Linked DNA regions of Saccharomyces cerevisiae S288C. The protein of the gene in region 1 interacts with the protein of each later gene in a biochemical or structural test. Each region holds a gene or a part of one and is shown on either strand. Other genes may lie near its edges. The genes, in order: RSA1 and BCD1.

Region 1 (6,384 bases):
GCAAGAGATATAGCTGATGATTTGTTCACTATGCTAAACAGCACAAGACCGTACATAAGAAAGAAGGCCATTACCGCACTATTTAAAGTTTTTCTGCAATATCCAGAGGCTTTGAGAGATAATTTTGATAAGTTTGTTTCAAAGCTAGACGATGATGATATATCTGTGGTTTCTGCCGCTGTCAGTGTTATTTGCGAGCTATCAAAAAAAAACCCCCAACCATTCATCCAGCTTTCACCTTTATTATACGAGATATTAGTTACCATTGACAATAACTGGATAATCATTAGATTATTGAAGTTATTCACCAACTTATCACAAGTGGAACCGAAATTGAGAGCCAAGTTATTGCCGAAAATTTTAGAACTGATGGAGAGTACTGTTGCAACTTCTGTGATCTATGAATCTGTCAACTGTATTGTCAAGGGGAATATGCTAGAAGAAGATGATTTTGAAACAGCAATGGCATGCCTGGAAAGATTGCACACATTTTGTGATTCTCAGGATCCAAATTTGAGATATATTAGCTGCATATTGTTTTACAAGATCGGCAAAATCAATACTGATTTTATTTCTCGGTTCGACCAACTGATTATACGCTTACTCTCCGATGTCGACGTTTCTATAAGATCAAAAGCAATTGAATTGGTTGAAGGTATTGTTGATGAGGATAACTTAAAGGCAATTGTCCAAACATTGATGAAGCAATTTGTAGATGAAGATGTGGTTATCCTACAAACTGGAAGCATCGTATACGAAAAATCAAAGAGAATTCCCATAATAATTCCAGAAAATTACAAGATAAAAATGGTGAACGTCATTATATCGATTTGTTCAGCTGACAACTATTCCAGTGTTAACGACTTTGAATGGTACAATGCAGTAATAATGGACTTGGCGATGCTCTGTCAAGACATATCTGATAAAAGCCTTGGATCAAAAATTGGTGAACAGTTTAGGAATTTGATGATAAAAGTTCCTTCAATGAGAGAAGTAACCATTGCTAATATTATAAAGCTTATTTCAAATGACAATATTAACAAACAGTTGCCTACCGTATTGAGAGAATGCATTTGGTGTCTCGGAGAATTTTCTACCCTAGTTGAAAATGGTAACGACTTAATAAAAATCATGACTGAGAATATCAGTTATTATTCTCATAGTGTACAAGAAGTTTTAATTTTAGCACTTGTTAAAGTATTTAGTAATTGGTGTAATAACTTTCAGGAGGATAAACGCTTTGAAATTAAAATGGTGTTAAAAGAGCTAATTGAATTTTTTGAAAATTTATCTTATTCGAGTACATTCGAAGTCCAGGAAAGAAGCGTAGAAGTTTTAGAATTTTTAAGACTAAGTTTGGAGGCTTTAGAGGAGGATACGGAAGGTCTACCAATGCTACTGAGCGAAGTCCTGCCTAGTTTTTTTAACGCCTATGAACTCGCACCAATTGCGCGTGGGACTCAATTGAAGTTAGCAGTAGATGAGAATCTTGATCTAGAAACTCCATTTTTGACAAAGGAGGCAGCTGATGAACTCTTAGATGAACAAAAAAGTGACGCCATCAGTGATTTAATGTCTGATATCTCAATGGACGAGCAAGTTGAACTAAAATTCGTTGATGATTCTGATACTTCGTATGAAGAAAAGGAAAAATTGGATGATTTTGAAAATCCATTTGAGATTGAGAGAGAAAAGGAACGGATGTCAAATCCTTATTATCTAGGTGAAGAAGACGAAGAAAGAACTAAGAACTCTAAAGATTTGTTGGACTTGAATGAGGAGGAAAGTAGTGATAAAAAGCCAGAAACTATTAGATTAAATAGAACCGATAATTCGTTGAATTCTCTAAGTTTATCTACAACTGAAATCAGCAGAAAGAAGAAGAAGGGAAAGAAGAAAAATAGGGTTCAAGTCTTATCCGATGAACCTGTTATCGAAGCCGCTCCCAAAAGGAAAGATGCATTCCAGAAACCCCATGATAATCATTCAACTCAAAATCCTTTGAAAAAGGACAAGATTAATCTGAGAATGCACTCTCAACTTGAAAATTTTGATTTTTCCAATTTTGGGCAATCGAGTAACGCAGGAAGAGGATCGCAGGAAGAGGGCAACCTTAGAAAGGAAGACGAGTTAGAATTAAGTCGTTTAGAGGCCAATCTTATTGTAAAAGATGAAAAGGATAATTTAAGTGATACTGAAGAAGTTATAGTTATAAAAAAGAAGAAGAAAGGGAAAAAGTCAAAGTCAAAAAACAAACTAAAAACGAAAGCAAAAAATTCTCCAGAACCAAATGAATTTCTTCGAGACCAAAGCACTGACATTTAACGATAAAAAAATCGAAGTCGTGAATTCTCAATGACAGCGATTACGTACGTAAACTATAATTAATTTAAGTATTTTATTCTGCATAGTATATTATTGCGGTGCACTCAATTTGCCGAAAGAGACGGCATATTTAATAATGACGCGAATGAATCAAAGGCCGCCAAAGGTAATCATAGACCAGAGATGATTTGCAAAATTATTTGACATACTATTGCTAGTGTAACAATAACACAGCATAACTTTGCTTAGACATATATGTCATTTAAGGCAACTATCACCGAGTCGGGGAAGCAGAATATCTGGTTTCGTGCGATATATGTGTTATCTACAATTCAGGATGATATCAAGATTACAGTGACAACAAATGAGTTAATTGCTTGGTCAATGAACGAGACAGATACTACTCTTTGTCAGGTTAGGTTTCAGAAAAGCTTTTTTGAGGAGTATGAGTTTAAACCACATGAGATTGTATTTGGAGAAAATGGGGTTCAAGTTATAGAAGATACGTACGGCAATAGTCATAAGTTATACTCCTTCCGTGTTAATGGAAGACACCTAACAACTATATCAAGAAAGCCGGATGGTGATGGCATCAAATCATTCACAATTGCGGTAAACAACACTTCTACCTGTCCTGAATCACTTGCAAATAGATTGATTGTGGTGATTGAAATGGATTCGTTAATAGTCAAAGAATACTGTCCCCAATTCCAGCCAATAAAATACGATCCCATAATAATCAACCTTAAGTACAAAAGGAGGTTTTTGGATGTTTTTGGAACTGCTGCCTCCGATCGGAATCCACAGGAGCCCTTGGACCCTAAGCTATTGGACGTTTTTACAAATACAGAGCGTGAGCTAACATCAGCCTTATTTAACGAAGAAGTGGAATCAGACATACGTAAAAGGAATCAGTTAACGGCTGCTGATGAGATTAATTACATTTGTTGTAATTCAACTTTATTGAAGAATTTTTTAGACAACTGCAATGTTAATGTAACCGATGAAGTAAAATTGGAAATTAACGTACATAGGCTAAGCATAACTGCATTCACCAAGGCCGTCTACGGCAAAAATAACGACCTTTTAAGAAATGCGTTAAGCATGAGTAACACTATCAGTACGCTCGATCTTGAGCATTATTGCTTATTTACAACAATCGAAGATGAAAAACAAGATAAGCGATCACATAGTAAGCGTAGAGAGCATATGAAAAGTATAATATTCAAATTGAAGGACTTCAAAAACTTCATAACGATAGGTCCATCCTGGAAGACTACCCAGGACGGAAATGATAATATAAGTTTATGGTTTTGCCACCCAGGGGACCCTATTCTTATGCAAATGCAAAAACCGGGCGTAAAATTAGAATTGGTTGAAGTTACTGACAGTAACATTAACGATGATATTTTAGAAGGAAAATTCATAAAAACAGCAATCTCTGGCTCCAAAGAAGAGGCCGGACTGAAAGACAACAAAGAAAGCTGCGAAAGTCCATTAAAAAGCAAAACTGCTTTAAAGAGAGAAAACCTGCCACACTCTGTGGCTGGAACTCGAAACAGTCCTTTGAAAGTGTCGTATCTGACCCCTGATAATGGAAGCACAGTTGCTAAGACCTATAGAAATAACACGGCAAGAAAATTATTCGTGGAAGAACAAAGCCAAAGTACGAATTACGAACAAGATAAGCGGTTCCGGCAGGCTAGTTCAGTTCATATGAACATGAATCGGGAACAAAGTTTTGACATTGGTACGACTCATGAAGTGGCCTGTCCACGTAATGAGAGCAATTCTTTAAAAAGATCCATAGCAGATATTTGTAATGAAACTGAAGACCCCACCCAACAATCTACATTTGCAAAAAGGGCAGACACCACTGTGACATGGGGAAAAGCGTTACCAGCTGCAGATGATGAGGTTTCATGCAGCAATATCGATAGAAAAGGAATGCTCAAGAAAGAAAAATTGAAGCATATGCAAGGTCTGTTGAATTCCCAGAATGACACAAGTAATCACAAGAAACAGGACAATAAAGAGATGGAAGATGGGCTGGGTCTAACACAAGTAGAAAAGCCAAGGGGTATATTTGACTAAAACCATAATGCAAAATCAGTATAAAGGCGTGTAAATATTAGATGAAGTAGCAATTATCATGATAATATCGATCGCTGTTTTTTTTTTTTTTTCTGTCTCAATTTGGTGAGCGTGCGGCTGATGGTCCATCACGGTCGGGGAACAAACTAAAATTTTCAATAGCATAATATCTCTATATTGCATAGCTTTTTACTTAATAGGAACTTAAAAATTTCATTGATGCTATTATATTTAACTCATAAGTCAATCTCTTTTTCCATTTTGATTAGCTTATTGCGACATGGACTATGAATTATAATAACTTTGAAAATTCGAAGGGTGATGGACATTCTAGGCTTCCCAAACCTACATACTCCGGAACGCTATCAGATGGCTATGATGAATCGAAAATTAAAAGGCAAAAAACAGACTCTGCTTTTAATGCAGCTTACTCACCTCATATGTATCCGAACTCTCCGTATTATGAAGGTTCATGGAATACCGGTTATACTCCTCAACTTCATCATGTAGCCCCTCATAATCAATATTTCCATCCAATACAACCGTCCACTCAGTACAATTATACGAGTCCTCCCAATTATACAGAAAATTACATACCGCCAGTTCATCAGAATATATCTTATGCACCAGCGCTTAATTTACAGAAGTGGCCATCATCATATTGTGAAAACACTCAAGCCTTAAAGAATGATAAAGATTACCAAACATCAATTAGTTATGAAGATGTTGCAATACCGACCGTAAAGGAAATACAATTGATTGAGAAAAACAGAGGGAAAGATACGTTTATGAATGAAATAAGTCCAGTACCATCAAGCAAGGATCAAGCATCTGCGGAGCCTACAGAAATCCCAAGAAAGGATCCCGAGCTGGCAAATTCTAATGCCGAAGATGATCATAATAACTTAGGGCTAGAAGATGATGATCGTGATGAGCAGTTAGAATCAGAGGGGTTGGGTAAGGTGGTTTTGGTTCCTGGAACCTCCATAGCATTGATTACTGATGAAGATGTTAAAAAGTGGAGAGAAGAAAGAAAAAAAATGTGGCTACTGAAAATATCCAATAACAAACAGAAACATATGCAAGAAATGGGCATAAAGGAAGATGAACTGAAGAGCCAACCTAGCATTTTCAAAGAGTCAAGGAAAGAAAAGCAATTTATACAGAGTATTCAAAATCAAGTGCAGAGAGGAAATCCGAAGATTGACTTGAACTTGAAATTGATACAGCGAGAATTCGCAAACGAAAACTCCCAACTTTTGGACTTTATAAGAGAATTGGGAGATGTAGGATTACTTGAATATGAGCTATCTCAACAAGAAAAAGATGTACTTTTTGGGAGCTCTGAAGATAATAATAAAAATCATTACAAACCAAATTACAAAAACAGGAAACCTAATCTGAGTAGAGCCAACTTTACTAGAAATAAGTAATAGAATAGCAAATATTGATATACATGGAAGAGTACATGCAAAGGTGCGTAAAAAAAAATAAGTCAGATAAAACTAATTACTGTTTAGAAATCATGAGTATATGAAACTAATTTTGAAGAGCTTTAACTGCTAGGTTACTTAAAACAGTAGTTACAGCAGCACCAAGGAACGAACCGAAAATGGCACCTTGGTAAAATGAACCCTTATTCTCTCTCTGTACTTTACTTTCAGAAGCGTCTTTTTTCTTACTTTTCGTTCGTGATTTTGTGGAAGATGTTGTCGTTTTGTGCTTCCTGACTCTACCAGGCGACACAGCCTTCTTAATGTGTTGTTCATTATTAACTAATGACTTTTTATTAAGCGGTCCACCGTTTTTGGCTTTATTTATAACGAACCCATCAGCAGAGTTTGAACTTGCATCTGTCAGTTTATGCACTCTAAGTTTTTCTTGGTCGTTGTTTTTCTTCAGTGTAATCAATGCAGCGTTGTCTTCTTTCATTGCTGTCATTTTTTGGAGAAGTATTTATATATT
Region 2 (3,138 bases), on another chromosome or scaffold:
TGCCTTAGAAACCATTTCATCTATGTCAGCTTCCGTTTTCGATGGAAAAGAACCTAGATATTGACCTGTGGCGGGACAATGACATTGAATAAAGTTTGGTTCTTCAGGATTCCATATGTTAGTGGAAACAGACCTCTTGCCCTTCCAATTATTTTGAGCGGCCTCTGGTGCAGGAAGGGAGAATTTGACTGGCTTATAGGACGAGGAACACTTTGCTGGGGTGGAGATTATCTTGACCAAAACATACAGAGTGAAAATTGAGGCAACTAGCGTTGTAATGCCTATCAGTTTTTGGTTATCTTGAATAATTTGGGGTTGAGAACGCATTATTGCGTTTTGCTTCTCCAACCATAAGTTAAAGTAAGCTTGAACTGTGGAGTTCAAATGGTTAATCATGTCTGAATTCAGATAGACCTTGGACATGATGAATAAACGTTCGATAAAACAGAGGAGAAACTGAACGTGAACTGTGAAAAGAATTCTACTATTCTGCAAATACTATTATAATTATATAGTAATCCCCATCGGCGTTTAGTATTTTTCGTTAATAAAATAAAAATAGAGAGACCATACTTTCTCCTTTACAACCGATATACTAAATAACACATTTTTGATTATACTACTACTCGTTTAGCAGATAGAGAAAAAAAAAAAAAAAAAAAAAAGGCTGAATGGATAAAGCGAGAGTCGTAAAGACCGAATGCAATGTCAGTTTATACATTTTTATTCTATTGGTATTATATTATAAAAAGATATATGATTAGAAAACTAGAATGTAATGCAATATTACAAGGCATTGATATGGACTTCAGCAGAAGGCTTGATGACAGTCTCGATCAAAATTTTGACAACGTCATCCTTTTTCTTCTCTGCAATTTTCTTAATCTCAGCTAATTCACCTTGCACACCAGCCTCTGCTTTCTTTTCCAATTCACCAACACCACCGGCATTCTTTTGTTCAAACTCCTTCAATTCCTTGTCTTTTTGAATTTTGTATGAGTCGATTTCCTTGGCTGCATCAGTCTTGGCTTGCTTCAACTTATCTTGTCTGTACTTTCTAGCCTTTGATACTATTTCGTGGGCTTCCTTTTCAGCTTGTAGTAGGGTGGCAATTCCGTTTTTTTGGGACTAAAGAGAATATTACATAGTTCTGAGCAACAATGAAAAAACCAATACCTTTGTCACGAGGTACCAGTCCAACAAGAGAGCACAGTTTTAAAAAAGTTTTTCATGTTAGTAAGAACGCTTGTTAGAGACAGAAGTGTTGACACGTAATGTAATGGCACATACCATTCTGCTTTGTATACCTTGCACACTTTGGAGATTGCAGGAAAAAAAAAAATGTATTGTTTAAGGTGTGATTGCTTTATCTATCACGCTCCCTTTTAGAGATGAAATTTTTGATACCCAAGGCAGGGTAACAAATTGAAAAAAAAAAAAATTCGCGGTAATAATAGTGGATGTCAAAGTTCATATTCGATGAGATGAGCTGGAATAGGAGTCCAGTTAATAGGGAAGGGTGTGGCAATTTGCAAGTATGGCGGTGTTGTGTGGTGTATGCGGAATAAAAGAGTTCAAATACAAGTGTCCAAGATGTTTGGTGCAAACTTGCTCTTTGGAGTGTTCCAAGAAGCACAAGACAAGGGACAATTGCTCAGGTCAAACACATGATCCTAAGGAGTATATATCGAGTGAGGCGTTGAAACAGGCGGACGACGACAAGCACGAACGAAATGCTTATGTCCAGAGGGACTACAACTATCTGACGCAGTTGAAGCGAATGGTGCATGTACAAAAGATGGATGCTAGAATGAAGAACAAGCGGGTTCTGGGGCCTGTGGGCGGCCACAACTCTAATTTCAAGAAGAGAAGATACGATATAGATGAGGATGATCGTGATAGCACGGAGTGTCAGAGGATAATTAGGAGGGGGGTGAACTGTTTGATGCTACCCAAGGGGATGCAGCGATCATCGCAAAACAGGAGCAAGTGGGACAAAACGATGGACCTATTTGTATGGAGCGTGGAGTGGATTCTATGTCCTATGCAGGAAAAGGGTGAGAAAAAGGAGCTTTTCAAACATGTCAGCCACCGTATCAAAGAGACAGACTTTTTGGTGCAAGGGATGGGCAAGAACGTTTTCCAAAAATGCTGTGAATTCTATCGCTTGGCTGGAACAAGCTCTTGCATAGAGGGCGAAGACGGTTCGGAGACCAAAGAGGAAAGAACACAGATCCTACAGAAGAGTGGGCTCAAATTCTACACGAAAACGTTCCCTTACAACACCACGCATATAATGGATTCAAAAAAACTGGTGGAGTTGGCTATACATGAGAAATGCATCGGAGAATTGTTGAAGAACACCACAGTGATCGAGTTTCCCACGATATTCGTTGCCATGACAGAGGCTGACCTACCAGAGGGCTACGAGGTGCTACACCAGGAACCCCGCCCACTTGAGCATACGAGTACACTGAACAAGTTTATTGACAATGCAAGGGAGGAGGAAGACGCTGAAGAGGACTCTCAACCGACAGAAGAACCTGTACAGAAGGAAACACAGGACGCCAGCGACAGCGACAGCGACAGCGACGATGACTACAATCCGGGCTTATCCATGGATTTCCTCACTGCATGAGCCGAGATACATAAGGTTGAAGATTACTATTTAGACTATCTATCTATACGTATACACCGCAATATACAAACAGAAAAAAAAAAAAAGAAAAAGCATTCGTAAGAACTCACAGCTCCAGAGCACGAACATACTGGTACGCCAAATCACATATTTCGTTGCTGGTGTCCGGCCCCAACGAGTCGGATGAGGTTTTGTACTCCTTGGCCCGGATTTCAGCTAGGTGTCCTTCGATGCCTGCAATCTTGGTCTCAAACTCGCCCGCTTCGTCCGCCTGCAGTTCTATCAGGAGACCCTTGAACCCAGTGGAGGAGAAGAGGTTGACGAGTCGCACGGTGAGCCCGTCCAAGATCAACGTCTCACCGGCATCACCCTTGATGAGCTGCCTCTGCATCCAGATGTTGGACAGCTTGGACGACAAAATAGTGTCTATGGACTCAGGAACGCCCGTAGATGAGCCATTGAACACCAGCGCCGGAGGGATATCCGCCGCTGCGGCAGTC

What was found.
Region 2: the proteins of RSA1 (region 1) and BCD1 form a complex in vitro, tested with the Saccharomyces cerevisiae proteins (one study listed by BioGRID).

Annotation. Positions count from the first base shown.
Region 1 is NC_001148.4:176,697-183,080, forward strand, and holds RSA1 (Rsa1p), read left to right. Parts: upstream 1-4,706; coding exon 4,707-5,852; downstream 5,853-6,384. Other genes in the region: APL5 (Apl5p), read left to right, coding at 1-2,325; DDC1 (Ddc1p), read left to right, coding at 2,581-4,419; pheromone-regulated protein PRM3, read right to left, coding at 5,959-6,360. UniProt on the Saccharomyces cerevisiae protein: Involved in a late nucleoplasmic step of 60S ribosomal subunit assembly.
Region 2 is NC_001140.6:186,387-189,524, forward strand, and holds BCD1 (Bcd1p), read left to right. Parts: upstream 1-1,537; coding exon 1,538-2,638; downstream 2,639-3,138. Other genes in the region: MSC7 (meiotic recombination directing protein), read right to left, coding at 1-423; VMA10 (H(+)-transporting V1 sector ATPase subunit G), read right to left, coding at 787-1,128, 1,291-1,293; SRB2 (Srb2p), read right to left, coding at 2,745-3,138. UniProt on the Saccharomyces cerevisiae protein: Required for box C/D snoRNAs accumulation involved in snoRNA processing, snoRNA transport to the nucleolus and ribosome biogenesis.